Arabidopsis thaliana: one gene and its partners. The protein of the gene in region 1 purifies or fractionates together with the protein of each later gene. This does not show direct contact. Each region holds a gene or a part of one and is shown on either strand. Other genes may lie near its edges.

Region 1 (4,501 bases):
CTATGCTTGTTGATATTTGGGTTATGTTTTCGGTTTGACAAATGTTAAATTTTCCTACAGGTGCAAAAACGAGGCTCAGTGGGGAGATCAATAGACGTCAACCGTTACAGAGGTTACGATGAGCTGAGGCATGATCTAGCGCGCATGTTTGGGATCGAAGGACAGCTCGAAGATCCTCAAACATCTGACTGGAAACTTGTTTATGTCGATCATGAAAATGACATCCTCCTCGTCGGCGATGATCCATGGGAGTAAGTAGAGAGCAATTACATTCACACATCAGACTGTTAGAAGTTCCATTATTTTTTTGCTAACCTTTAAAATCGTGATTTTTGCAGAGAATTCGTAAACTGTGTTCAGAGCATTAAGATCCTTTCATCAGCTGAGGTTCAGCAGATGAGCTTAGACGGGAACTTTGCCGGTGTACCAGTTACTAATCAAGCTTGTAGTGGCGGTGACAGTGGCAATGCTTGGAGAGGTCATTATGATGATAACTCAGCCACTTCGTTTAACCGGTGATGGCAGAAGAGTTCTCTCACAGACAAAGATTCTTTTTTCTTCGTTTTGTAATATAACTTCTCGTTGATAACATGTCTCAAGTTTCCACTGGGCACTGTAGAGCATTTACCTGTAAAATATCTTCCACTAAGTTTACACGGAGATTTTATTTGCTGTGAGTCACTGTTTCTACCAAGTTTAACTGATCAACTGAAACCGCTTGTAACCAAAAAGAGAAGGAAAAACATGAAATCAGCAATAAAATCACATTTTCAAACTCAAGTCTTTATTCCAGATTATGCTCAGGCCGTTTACGGAAAAAATTTCCACAATTGGGATACAAGTTGCAGATTACAAAGATATAACATAACTAAGAAAGTATAGCCATCACATCTGAAGCTCTGAGGGCAATGTAGTTGGAACCATCTTTGCCCTTGAAGTCGTTACCAGCATACTTGGAGTAAAGTACTGTGCTTCCGGTTGATACTGGTAGAGGCGTAATTTTACCTTCCTCGTCTAGGGAACCCGGTCCAACTGCTATCACCTGCCATAAAATGAAGAGGAGAATATGTATAATTGGAACTTGTGTATGAACTGACTATCACATCAAGCTACTAAGAAAGTATCAGATTCCCCGAATGGACATGATATCAAGTGAGCACTTACCGTGCCAATAGAAGGCTTCTCTTTGGTAGTCTCGGTTAACAACAACCCTCCAGCTGTTTTCTCCTCCGCCTCAGCAACCTAAACTCAAGACATTTCAAAACAGAAGTTAACATTTGCATGCAGAGTCAATAATAAGATGACTAAGGTAAAACAGAAGGGACGAACCTTAATAAAGACTCGGTCATTCAAAGGTTTGAGATCTTTGATGTCCTCTGTCTCAAGAATGCCAACAATATCATCTTCCTTGAGGATAAGATGCTTCACATCATTGAACTCCACCTCAGTTCCTGCGTATTTGGAGTAGATAATTTGTGCTCCAGTCTGCATCAGGAAAAAGATGGAGGCATATCAGATATACATTTATTAGCAAACAACAAAGCAAACAAAGAAAGAGGGCTTGAAGGGTAGTGAGGTTGTTACAGGGACAGTGATATCAATTTTGTTCTTCCCAATAGTTCTTCCTTCACCCACGGCAACGACTTCACCTCCTTGAGGTTTTGATTGAGCAGTGGATGGAAGTAAGATACCACCTAAAGTCTTCTCCTCTGCCTCCTTGATCTTCACCAAAACTCGATCTCCCAATGGCTTAATTGAAGTATACTGTAAATAACCATACACAATAAACAGAGAAAATTATTAACTAGAAGAGAAGGGACTTCTCAAAATGTCTCACAAGGCGCCATTAAGATACAAACCAAGCTTGCAAAAGAGAAGCTAGAAGCATCTAAAGCTTAGTTTCTTTAGACATCATTTAGCGGATTGGATTGTATAACACAAACGAATGGCCAAAACAACAAAACAACAATCCAAGATTCAGATAAGTTATCATCCAGAACAAGTAACCAAACAACAAAGAATTGAGAAAAGTACCTTAGGGGCAACAACAGAAGCAGCTTTGACAACCAAACGACGGAACTGGCTCTGTCTAAGGGTCCCTGGTTTCAAAGATGAAAACTTGACACTCGAAGCTCTGAGACCATCCAGCGAGGCTAAGCTCCTTGCTGACATAGTCACTGGTGACGCTGTAAGTTGAGTCGCCGCCATTTCTCCTATCCGTCAAAACACACAAACTCTCAATTAGTATGAAACTGAGAGAGACAGATAAACAAATGGGCAAAAATGAAGATTTCTCCCAGATTCACCAAAATAAGAGTAAAACCCAACCACTATTGAGCGAACTAGATTACTTTATCCGCCCAAAGTTCAAACCTTTGTATTCAATTCTCGTTGTAAAGGATTTCTATAATACGAATAGACAGTGAAGAGAGAGGGAGTGGGTAGCTAAAGAGAAGAGAGTGAGTGATGATACCTTGTTGAGGATAAGAAAAAGGTTGAGACTTTCGGAGGATAAAACCCTAAAAATTGCAGTAGAGAGAGAGTTAGATAGACTAAAACACATGACTCCTCTCTTTTTATTGCCCAAGTGTTCTAGAACGCTCTAACCGGGTGGGTCTTTTTTGTCTTAAACGGGTCCGATCCGGGCGGTCGGGTCGGGTCGTTACCTAACCCTCTTGCCACACTTTCTGAAATTTATAGATTAGTAAATCATTCTGAGATGTTTTTCTTGTTATGAATCATGCTAAAACATCTATTATTTGGTAATCACAAAAATATTACACTATCCAAATTAAAAAAGAATTTTAGTACTATATGAGGAGAATGCTGATAATACTTTTAAAATCATAAATATTATGTGTAATGAGAAAGTAATTTAATCTTTTGAAGTATGCTTCGCCTTAGCTAAGAGCACGACAGATACTATAAAATGTGGTTAATGTTGACATAAACAAAATTGTGGCTATTGTTAAAGAGAAAACTGTGAAACTTATTTCTTAACACAACAGAGAAAACAAATTGTAGTGTCGTTGCTTAATAATATAAAGGTCAGAACAAAAACCATCTCAAGATAAAATATTTAAACAAGAGAAACTTTTATTCGATCATAATATTTATTCCACAATCCTAAATCCAAATCATCTAAAAAACCTGATAGATCAAAAACAAGTACGACATTATTTGATGGAAATTATTGCAATCACTAGCTAGCTAGAGCTAAGATCTAATCTAGCACTCCAATTCCACGGCCAATTTTTTAGGTGAATCTCCACAGTCCAAAGTAGAACCAAACGTGTCGGAAGACACATTGACAGTGCAGTTGAGTTTGCCAACACACTCTTTAGCCACGGTCTTCGCAGCATCCTTGTCTCCTTGGCACGTACCAACCGCGAATGACCCACAATGCCCCAACGGATTTCCAAAGCTTGCAAATTTAACGGCTGAAATCGGCCGGTTATGGCAGGACAACTCCACTTTGTTGTGTTCATGAGCCCTGGCACAAACTGTTCCAACCACTACTGTCTTGAAGTTCACCATTGACGGGTTACCGCCCATTTCTTCGAATAGTGTGATAGTGTTATGTCCGCTCGCATTCAAGAACGATCGTGGAACATGGTACCTACAAGAGTTCGGCCATCAGAGATTCAGAATAATGAAACGTTAATAATTATAAGTCAAAGTTATGTGATGTAATGAAGGAACCATTAGTAGTTTAGTTACCATCTTTGAGTTGGTTTGCCGCACATAAAAGCGCATTTGTCGCTACCATACGCCCCACGGTAGTCACATTCGTCTTTGCAACCATCATCGCTAGAGTTAAAGCTCGGCCAGTAACGACCAATGCTCTGACCGTTGATCCAAGCCTCACCTTTCCCGAGACCATTTAAGTCCACAATCACTGGCTCCTTACCAAGAGGAGCCTTGAACTTTGCCTGAAGATATAACATTTCATTGTAAGAAACCGTTCATTTGCAAAAACAAATAATTTTTTTGTAGAAGGTTTTAATTAATACTGACCTTGTACCATGTCAACATCCGACCAGTAGGTAGCTTTTCGTTTGCCCATTTTTGGTGACCAACAGATTTTATGCTGAAAAGTTTGTCGTTGTATCCATTCAAACCAATCTTGTAGTCCCATTGATGCTGCGAGAGATCCTTCTCGATTGTTTCCTCTCCTTTGTATCCGACTAAGGACACAGGACCATTGATTCCAGTTGGTCCGCTCTCAAAGAAAGGTCCATAATTCTATAACATATGACCACAACTTTAGTTGTCACAACAAATTTTGGAGAAAGAAATTTATATAAAAACTATAGTTTCACATCTTACCTGTAGTCCAACGGAAACGCTGAGAAGTGAAATGTGATTAGTCCCATGAACGAGATGATTGACCTTCCTCTCAAATCTGTAATCAAATTTCCCGTCCTTTACGAATTGGTTACCGACGTATTTTCCATTGACGTAAGCGTGTAGAACATGGGCATTGCTGTGAACCCGTAAC
Region 2 (2,992 bases), on another chromosome or scaffold:
GATCATTTTATCAATTTTTGAAGTAATTGGCTACATCGAATAATTTATGTACTTATATATAGTTTCTATATCAATTCATATACTTGATATATATATTATAAAAAATAAAATCCTTAAAACTACAATTTTTGTTTAGAAAATGTGTTGTGTATATCTTCAACATGAGAGAATGCATCAAAGTGGTGTGATCAAACTCTTTTAATCCAAATCTAACAAATATATTAGGGTTTTGTGCCAACAACCCTCAAAAATATTTTTTTTTGCAACATAACCTTTCATATTAAATACATGTAGGTCAATACTCTGATATCAAAAGTCACCCACAGTATAACCACGTGCATAGATTTTATATAATCTTTGGGCGTGCTTAGATTTTGCAAACCGTATAAGTATGTATATAAGTTATTAAACTACGTCGTTTGAGCATCTTTTCGGAAAATAATACATTACTAGAGTGGATTGGAACCAATAACCTATAATACTAAATAATGCACTTAACCAATTGTGCTGCAAGATTTATTGTTGATATTGCATACCGATAAATATATATTGTGAACATTGCATTCTGGGTTTCTTCATCTTCTTAGGAAATTAGGTTTATTAGCAATCCGAAATCTCTATTCACGTGAACTAGTTTGTTTATCACCACTGATTTCATTATCTTTGGCCATCATCAACAATTTGTAGAGCAAGCAAGGGCTCATTCTCATCGCAATTAATCTATTCTTCATCGAGGAAAGCTCTGAGACGAGGCGTGGGTGGAAGAATTGAGCGTGTTCAGACTTGGGTTTGATCCGATCGTAACCGCTCGCGCTGTTTGTCAAGTTTTATGTTTACAATTCTGAAATAATGTTATTGTTGTATTCGATTCATGTTTAAACTATATATATTAATCGGTTTGTAAAGTTAACAAAATCACTCTGCTCAATTGGTTAAGTAATCTTTGAATAGTTCAATATGCCATGCGTTCAAATCTATTTTCCAACATTATTTTGCGTTTTTGTTTAAAGGCTCAAAACAACGTAGTTTTAATAACCTATATATAAACATACGGTTTGCAAAATCTATACACGTCTAAGAGATATACTATAGGTGACTTTTGAGATCGCAGACCTGCATTTATTTAACTTACATGATTGAGTTACAAAAAAAATTACTTAGAGAATTTTTTGGCACAAAATCCAATTTTTATAACTAATTGAACCTTAAAATAATAATAAGTAAAAGCCGTTTTTTTTGTTAAAAGAAGGCTCAAAACGACGTAATTTTAATAATCATGTACAGATTTATATGATTTGCAAAATCTATACACGTGCAAGAGTTATATTGCGAACGACTTTTAATATCACAGTATTAATCTACGTTTGTTTGACATAAATAATTAAGTTGCAAAAAAATATTATTTGTGTTTTTTTTATGAAGCCCAATATTTTATTTAATTGGGCCTAACATAATAATAAGGGAAGCCCAATAATTTGTAGCAAATATTCTAGGGTTAGAATATTCTTCAACAGAATTAGGGTTACATGTGCGGACTCTATATAAATCTTTTTTGCCTCCTACGAATCACAAGTAATAAGAAAACAATGGAGCAAACTTTTATTATGATCAAGCCTGACGGCGTCCAGAGAGGACTCGTAAGCTTCCCTTTTCTCTTAATACATACTTGTTGATCTTGATCTGATTTTGGTTTTGTATTCAGTTCTTTGGATTGTTTATACTTAAAAGATCGATATGTTTGTGTTTTTTTCTTTCAGATCGGTGAAGTCATCTGCAGGTTTGAGAAGAAGGGTTTCACTTTGAAAGGTAATGATTTCGATTACCAAACTTGATTTTACATTATAATTAGAGGTCTTAGATCTAATTAAAGTCACTTTGTTACTTGAATTGAGATTGTAATGACACTATAGTTGCTTATGGTTTGGTCTAGTTTCTGAACACTAATAGTTTAGTAAAACTTGTTTGACTTGACAAGTATTCTGTGTTGTCTAATAGATTTTAGATTATAGTATCTGTGCATAAGAACTTGTTATTATCTGGACCTTTTGTATTATGTAATTTGGTAGATAAGAGTGTTAGTCTTGTGTTTCTGATCAGTGTAGATTTGTATTTTATACAGGTCTGAAGTTGATCAGTGTAGAGAGATCTTTTGCTGAGAAGCACTACGAAGACTTATCTTCAAAGTCTTTCTTCAGTGGACTCGTTGACTACATTGTATCCGGCCCTGTTGTTGCTATGATCTGGGAAGGAAAGAATGTTGTCTTGACCGGAAGAAAGATCATTGGAGCTACCAACCCAGCAGCTTCTGAGCCTGGAACTATCCGTGGGGACTTTGCTATTGACATTGGCAGGAACGTGATCCATGGTAGTGACTCTGTCGAGAGTGCAAGAAAGGAGATTGCTTTGTGGTTCCCTGATGGACCTGTCAACTGGCAGAGCAGCGTTCACCCTTGGGTCTATGAAACTTGATGATCTGTTGCTTTTTCAGTAGTGTGTTTTCGACATTGCTTGTCTTTTGAACAAGACTTCTATATTTAAGTTGAGTTTGATTATCCTTCTCTACTTTGCTTGCTTGCTACATATGAATACAACAGCTACCAACTGGTGATATAAAATATATCAGTTATTGCAGATACTGAACCAAAATTGACTCTTACCAATGGTTAGATCAAACCTATTTAGTAAACACAAGATCATACTTCTTGTAACCTTGTGTTTCATGAACACATAATGTTGTCAATCTCTTAGATGCTCTCGAAAACTGCGACGTTCGACAAAGTGGCAAGCTTAAGTTGTCTAGTAAGCCATTGTCCAAGTTTGAGGCTGACACCAACTTGAAGGGGGCATACTAGGAGAGAGTGATAAGAAAAGTTTTGAGTATTTGTCTACTGAATTTCAAGCTTACTGATGAACATTGGCAAGCTAAATTTAAATAACTAAATTTTACAATTTTGGTTCTTCAAACTTTAGAGAAGAAAAGAATCCAACGGTC
Region 3 (6,338 bases), on another chromosome or scaffold:
ATGCATAATGTGACGCGTCAGCTCTCGTGACATAAATCGGACTACGTGGATATCTTTGATTGGATGTTATGCCTTTTCTTTGCCAGCCAAATGTCCACGTCACGGAGCGGTGAAAGAATGTTAAGTTTAAGCAAATTTTTACTTTTACAGGGTTTTTTTTTTTGGGTTCACTTTTGCAGTGTTATTGTGTAACTTGCGTTCGGTGATAAAGTTTATAAATTTCTGGAAAAGAAATTCCACATAAAATGAAATACCGCACTTTTGGTACTTTGAAAAGAAATGCTTACACCATGCAAAAGAAATGGTTAACAAGACATGAAAATATAGTACTACTTTTGGTTCTCTGGTATACCACGTCAAGTGATCTTTACATGCACGAATCGAGCATTCCAAAGGTTCGAAACTGTGTCCTTTTTCATGGTATCAAATCAAATCTTTTTGTAGTATGGTGGATGATCTTATAACAATAATGGATTATTTTCAGCAAATTCTTTAGTTCTACAACACTAGTAGTGATTTTAAGATTTCACATTTTGGGGGCTTGTATAACAAATTAATTCGTATCCACACTTTCAAGAGATCAAAGAAGCATATATTTCATTAGAGAAAACAAAGATACATATAACATTGCAACAAGAGAAACATATAGTATAAAGCCGTAAACTCTCTTCAACGAAAGCGAGAGAGTGTGACTCCATTCCCTCAAAACCTAACTTTGGCTAAAATATTTTTCTTGGAAGAAAAGTTATTGAAACTGAACAAACACAAACCACGTAGAAAAATCCCGGAATATAGAAATAATATCTTCAAGCTCTTCACTTGGCACTACCGAGCTGGGAGCGGATAAGCTTAGCCGCGTCAACCATGGCTTTAAGTGCTGGTTTAACCTCAGTGTACTTCCTTGTCTTCAGACCACAGTCAGGGTTAACCCACAAGATGTTCTGCTCAAGAACCGCAAGCATCTTGTTGATCCTGTCTGCAATTTCATCTGTGGATGGTATTCTCGGAGAGTGAATGTCGTAAACACCAGGACCGATTCCTGCACCGTACTTCACTCCTTCACGGAACACTGAGAGAAGCTTCTCGTCTGAACGAGAGTTCTCAATGGTGATGACATCAGCGTCCATGTCAATGATTGAGTGGATGATGTCGTTGAAGTTTGAGTAACACATGTGAGTGTGAATCTAGAAGATAAAATAAAGAAGTTAGTTGCAGAAACATTCATCACTATTTGAGATTTTAAGTGTACAGTGTTGTTACCTGAGTGCTGTCTTGGACGCCACAGTTGGTGATTCTGAAAGAGTGAACAGCCCAGTCCAAGTAGAAAGAGTGTTCGGCTTTCCTAAGAGGCAATCCTTCTCTAAGTGCGGCTTCATCGATCTGAATGACTCCAATACCGCCTTTCTCGAGGTCTTCCACTTCATCTTTGATGGCCAAAGCGATCTGGTAACAGGTTTCGTGCCTGGGCTGGTCGTTTCTGACAAAAGACCAGTTGAGAATTGTGACTGGACCTGTAAGCATACCCTTCATTGGACGTTTGGTCATGCTCTGAGCTGTTGAGGACCAGAAGACTGTCATTGGCTTGGGGCGGCTCACGTCACCATAGATAACTGGTGGCTTCACACAGCGAGATCCATAGGATTGCACCCATCCGTTTGCTGTGAATGCGAAACCTGACAATTGCTCTCCAAAGTACTCAACCATGTCGTTTCTCTATAATATTGTCAAAGCATGGCTGAGTCAGAAACAGGACGTTGTAATTAGTTTTAGGGTCTAGTAAGAGACAAAGACTGACCTCAGGCTCTCCGTGAACAAGAACATCAATGTCAAGGTCCTCTTGGATGTCAACAACTTTCTTGATCTCTTCCTTGATGGCCTTGACGTAATCCTCTTCAGAGATTCTAGTAGAAGAAAGAGTTCCAGTTAGCATCACAATCAACTTACTAAACATGCTTAAATGATCAATGCAAAAAAATTATGATTAAGAGACTAACTTCTTGGCCTTGTATTCACGGCGAACTCTCCTGAGTTCCACGGTCTGTGGGAAGGATCCAATGGTTGTGGTTGGGAGGATTGGAAGGTTAAGCTTCTTCTGCTGAGCATCTAGCCTTGCGCTAACTTCAGTTGTACGGCGGTGGTCAGATCCCTTCAAAGCAGCAGCCTGAGATTGCAGGAATTACAAATCATTAGGATCAATAGAAACATATATCATACAGAGAAAACCATCATAATAGTAAAGAAAGCTTGAGTATGAAAGCAAGAACTTACAGCCTTCTGGACAGACTCATTGGTGACTCTTGGGGAAGACCTCCTCGAAGACAATGCGTCAGCGTTGGCAGTGAAGAAACTCTGAAAGAGAGAAATATTAGAGACTTGAAGTCTTTTTCAAACAAAGGGTTCACTTGGGAAACATGTTTGTAGGATTTTTACAATACCTCATTTGTCTGACCGGCCAAAGCCTTGGCCAATGCGTCAACTTCAACAACCTTCTGGGCAGCAAAAGCTAGCCACGACTTGATTTCAGCATCAAGCTTAGTCTCGTTAATAAGGTCAACGGCAGTGTGGAGAAGAGAGCAAGAGGTTGAGACCACAAGCTTGTCTGCACCAATTCACAAATAACAAAACCAACGAGTTAGAGAAAGATAACAAATTAAACACTTCTAATTGAGTAATCCACATAAGAGATTCTGGAAGAATATAATACCTTTACCAACAACACCCTCAAGTGACTGCAAGGTGATGAGAGAGGCAGCGAGGTCATTGGCCCAGATGTTCCTTCCGTCAACAACACCAGCAAAGAGGTACTTGCCCTGTGGGAAACCTGACTTGATCAAGTCAATGGTCTTGGTGCCACGAACCAAATCAAATCCGAAGGCAGTCACACCCTTCAAGGAAGTAAGGGTCTTGTATGCTTCAGCAGGGATATCAGCGAAGTAGGTCTCCACAAGAACATTCAGACCAGAGAGAGTTGATTCAAGCTCAGCATAGGCACCGCTAAAAGCCTGGAGTTTGTGACCCTCGAGATCCATGACAAAGAGAGGCTCATCAAGCTGAATCCAGGAGGCACCAGCTGCCTTAAGCTCTGCAATGACTTCCCTGAGAAAAGATTCACCATTCCAATAGTATGTCAGAAACAAATTTCCTAGCGTCAAAGAGAATAATTGAGTACTAGAGCAAAAGTAATCTCTTACTTGTAAACTGGGAGGATTTTGGGGAGAAGGGAGAGAAGATCAAATGACTTGTCAACACCCTTAGCAAGCTTGGAAAGAAGCAAGTAAGAGACAGGGCCAACAAGTACAGGGACGGTCTCAACACCAAGCTGCATTAACAACACCACATTACTATATTAGAACATTCAATACCAGACCAAAAGAAGCCTATATATGTTCAAATAGGAAAATTAGTTGAGTACGTACAGCCTTGGCCTCCTTGTACTCATTGACAGCCTTGTGAGATGCGTAAGAAAATTTCACTTCAGGGCCCAACTCTGGGACGATGTAATGGCTGCATCAAACAGAAACATTAAAAAAATACGTTAATAACACAACTCACAAATCCAATAACAATGTCAACACACAAGTTAAAGAGTAGAGAAGAAACTCACTAGTTGGTGTCAAACCACTTGGTCATCTCCATAGCTGGAACAGAGGCATTTCCTCTAGCCATGGAGAAGTAAACATCGAGACCGATCTCACCACTGGTAAATCCATATCTAGATGGAACAGCACCAAGCATGGCGGTGGTGTCAAGCACCTGGTCATAATGAGAAAAGGTGTTGCTTGGGATATACTTAATCCCAGCAGCAGACATCTGTTTCCAGATATCAGACCTGAGATCAGCAGACACCTTCTGCAAATCATCGGCACTGCTCTTGCCATCCCAGAAAGACTCCAATGCAAACTTGAGCTCTCTCTTAGGTCCCATACGTGGATATCCAACAATGTGGGAAGCCATTTTTGTTTGTTTTTTGTTTTTTTACTACATTTGAACCACAAACAAAACCAAAATCAGTCAGTAAACCAAACACAATCCTAAAATGTACTTCTTGTCATATGGTAAAAGCCACCAATCGTTAAAAAAGTAAAAAACTTTTGCAGTTTTTTTTGTCGTATTTATTGAAAACAGAGTATGAGAGAGTTTAAAGATCAAAACGAATCACAACTAGGGAAAACAGAGATCTAACGCAGAGAAAGATCGCAAAACAGAGATTTTACGAATCTGATCGTATAAAAAATCCAGATCTGTGTTTCATAGAATTTCACTCACCGGATTAAGATCTAAGTATTAACGAACGAAGAAGAAACGGAATCAAACGAAAATTGAATTGAGAAGAAAACGAAGAGACGGAAGGTAAATAAGAGAGTGGGAAGGGAGAGAGCAAGAATAGTCATGCGGAAGCCATGGAAACTCGGAAGCGTACCTTACGGAATGAGAAGAGTGGAGATGAGAGATGGGCAAAGAGAGCGACGATGGAGAGTGTTCTGTGTTAAGCTTATTTATAGCAAATCAATTACACATCGTTCCTTGGTTTCTCTCACTCACTCGTGGTGGCTGATTATTTTTCTATTTAAATTAATAATACGTACATGTACATCAAAATACGTATATTTAGGTTTTTACCCTCTCTACAACATTATACTATATGATAAATAAAAATACGTGTAATCCATGTATCCAGAATGATACTAATTTTTATCTTTCAAATTTAAGGGCACGGTCAATTATATACAACTTTCGAGAATTATACGTATAACGACGGTTTACATAATAAAAAAATGTATTTGATCATGGCATGACATTACAATTATATAAGCTGGTAGAACTTAATTCCGTTGAATTAGTACTAGTTTACTGGTAATTTTAGTTGACTTTTGTCAAGTCCTCACTGGCTAGTTAAAGCTTAAAACAATTGTTTAAGGGTTAATTAAGGGGTTAGTGTATGTTGTATTGTAAAGCGTAGTATTAATTAAGATATAAGAGCTTAAGAGGGGATTAATTATGGAATTGAAAATGTGAAGGTGGGGAGGAGAGTTGGTGTGTGTTGTTTGTGAAGAGTATACATGAGGAGAAGGAGGTAGCGGGATTGGTGGGTGGAGCCCATTAGGGAGTTGGTGAGATATTCACTTTTAATTTCATTTTTGGGAGTCAGTACCAACAATTCTTGCCACACAAATTTGGAGATTTGTTTGGTAAACAAAGTTGGTGAATGATTATGAGATCCTCCACGTCCCTCTTATGGTTTGATCTTCACATAATTTTTTTTATTCAACAATGACGTTTGAAACCTATTAACCATAAGTTGTCATAATATTCACCTTAATGAGGAATATACGTCTATAATGTATGTAAAGAAGTCTAGTATGAAATGGTAAACTAGTTCAGTAAAGAATATTCAATGCTCTGTTTGGACGACTAATACGAAAATTCTATGTTTCGAATAAAGAAGTGTATTTCTACCATCTCTTGTAACTTGTTTTGTAGCAAGAACTCTTTTTTTTAATGCTTTCACATGAGAAAGTCCGTTCTTTTGTTTTTCGACTCAAAAAACTTTAATCCATCAAGACGCTTAACAAGTAACTTCAAATTTCAAAACAAAACACAGAAATATTTGTATCCGGTAAATTTTATATTTCCTCACAATATCCAACATCGGTCTATTCCGAAGCATTAGTAGATCAGTAGATGCCTTGCTATGGTTTTGTCGGCTGTCGGTGGGATATAGATATAAAAACGCACGACCATTTAATGAGACATTTTTTTTTTCTTATTTCTCGCTAATGCCTAATGTATCATGCGTATTCGGTATTCCCAAAGTAAAAGAATTTGACAAAATGTTCCGACTAATATATACTTGTGCGTCTTGAAATATCGCATTACACATTACATACCTAATTTACTTTCAATTTTTTTTGTAAGAAAGTTAAATGAATAAACACGTTTACATATCATCAATCCTACAGAATATACTATAAGTTTTAACGGCGAGATCACATGCAAGAGACGATAAAGTTTCCATACTTTGAAAAGAGAATATGATATTCAATATATAAGGAAACTAAAAGAATTCATATATCCATAGATTGATATCTCTTATCATAAGGAAAATAAAAAATTCATAGACGATATACTGATATCCATAGATCGAAATTTTTTACTAATTAAGGAAAATAAAAAATTCATAGATTGATATCTCTTATCATCATATATCCATATTTCCAAAATATAATAAAAGAAGAAACTTTTCTTCACCACCCAAAACCTCCCAAATTTTTTGTTTTCCTAAGGTTTCTCAAGAGCAGGAACAAATAACAAAACATATCTAATCTAGATCGATGGAA

The links. The genes of interacting proteins can lie anywhere in the genome.
Region 2: the proteins of CPN20 (region 1) and NDPK1 fractionate together in Arabidopsis thaliana (co-fractionation; one large-scale study listed by BioGRID). This does not show direct contact.
Region 3: the proteins of CPN20 (region 1) and MS2 fractionate together in Arabidopsis thaliana (co-fractionation; one large-scale study listed by BioGRID). This does not show direct contact.

What each region holds. Positions count from the first base shown.
Region 1 is NC_003076.8:7,012,722-7,017,222, reverse strand, and holds CPN20 (chaperonin 20), read right to left. Parts: upstream 2,555-4,501; 5' UTR 2,307-2,554; exon of another isoform or gene 2,214-2,306; 5' UTR 2,209-2,213; coding exon 2,035-2,208; intron 1,765-2,034; coding exon 1,585-1,764; intron 1,486-1,584; coding exon 1,330-1,485; intron 1,243-1,329; coding exon 1,165-1,242; intron 1,043-1,164; coding exon 869-1,042; 3' UTR 767-868; exon of another isoform or gene 558-766; 3' UTR 525-557; downstream 1-524. Other genes in the region: NPH4 (Transcriptional factor B3 family protein / auxin-responsive factor AUX/IAA-like protein), read left to right, coding at 61-251, 339-519; BGAL7 (beta-galactosidase 7), read right to left, coding at 3,229-3,619, 3,721-3,932, 4,018-4,245, 4,330-4,501. UniProt on the Arabidopsis thaliana protein: Seems to function only as a co-chaperone, along with CPN60, and in certain cases is essential for the discharge of biologically active proteins from CPN60. Required to activate the iron superoxide dismutases (FeSOD).
Region 2 is NC_003075.7:5,921,898-5,924,889, forward strand, and holds NDPK1 (nucleoside diphosphate kinase), read left to right. Parts: upstream 1-1,586; coding exon 1,587-1,637; intron 1,638-1,757; coding exon 1,758-1,806; intron 1,807-2,119; coding exon 2,120-2,469; downstream 2,470-2,992. UniProt on the Arabidopsis thaliana protein: Major role in the synthesis of nucleoside triphosphates other than ATP. The ATP gamma phosphate is transferred to the NDP beta phosphate via a ping-pong mechanism, using a phosphorylated active-site intermediate.
Region 3 is NC_003074.8:955,218-961,555, reverse strand, and holds MS2 (methionine synthase 2), read right to left. Parts: upstream 4,695-6,338; 5' UTR 4,421-4,694; exon of another isoform or gene 4,267-4,420; intron 3,979-4,266; 5' UTR 3,955-3,978; coding exon 3,605-3,954; intron 3,505-3,604; coding exon 3,417-3,504; intron 3,320-3,416; coding exon 3,192-3,319; intron 3,097-3,191; coding exon 2,705-3,096; intron 2,600-2,704; coding exon 2,436-2,599; intron 2,350-2,435; coding exon 2,269-2,349; intron 2,162-2,268; coding exon 1,995-2,161; intron 1,902-1,994; coding exon 1,796-1,901; intron 1,714-1,795; coding exon 1,261-1,713; intron 1,185-1,260; coding exon 816-1,184; 3' UTR 524-815; downstream 1-523. Other genes in the region: AT3G03776 (hydroxyproline-rich glycoprotein family protein), read left to right, coding at 6,333-6,338. UniProt on the Arabidopsis thaliana protein: Catalyzes the transfer of a methyl group from 5-methyltetrahydrofolate to homocysteine resulting in methionine formation.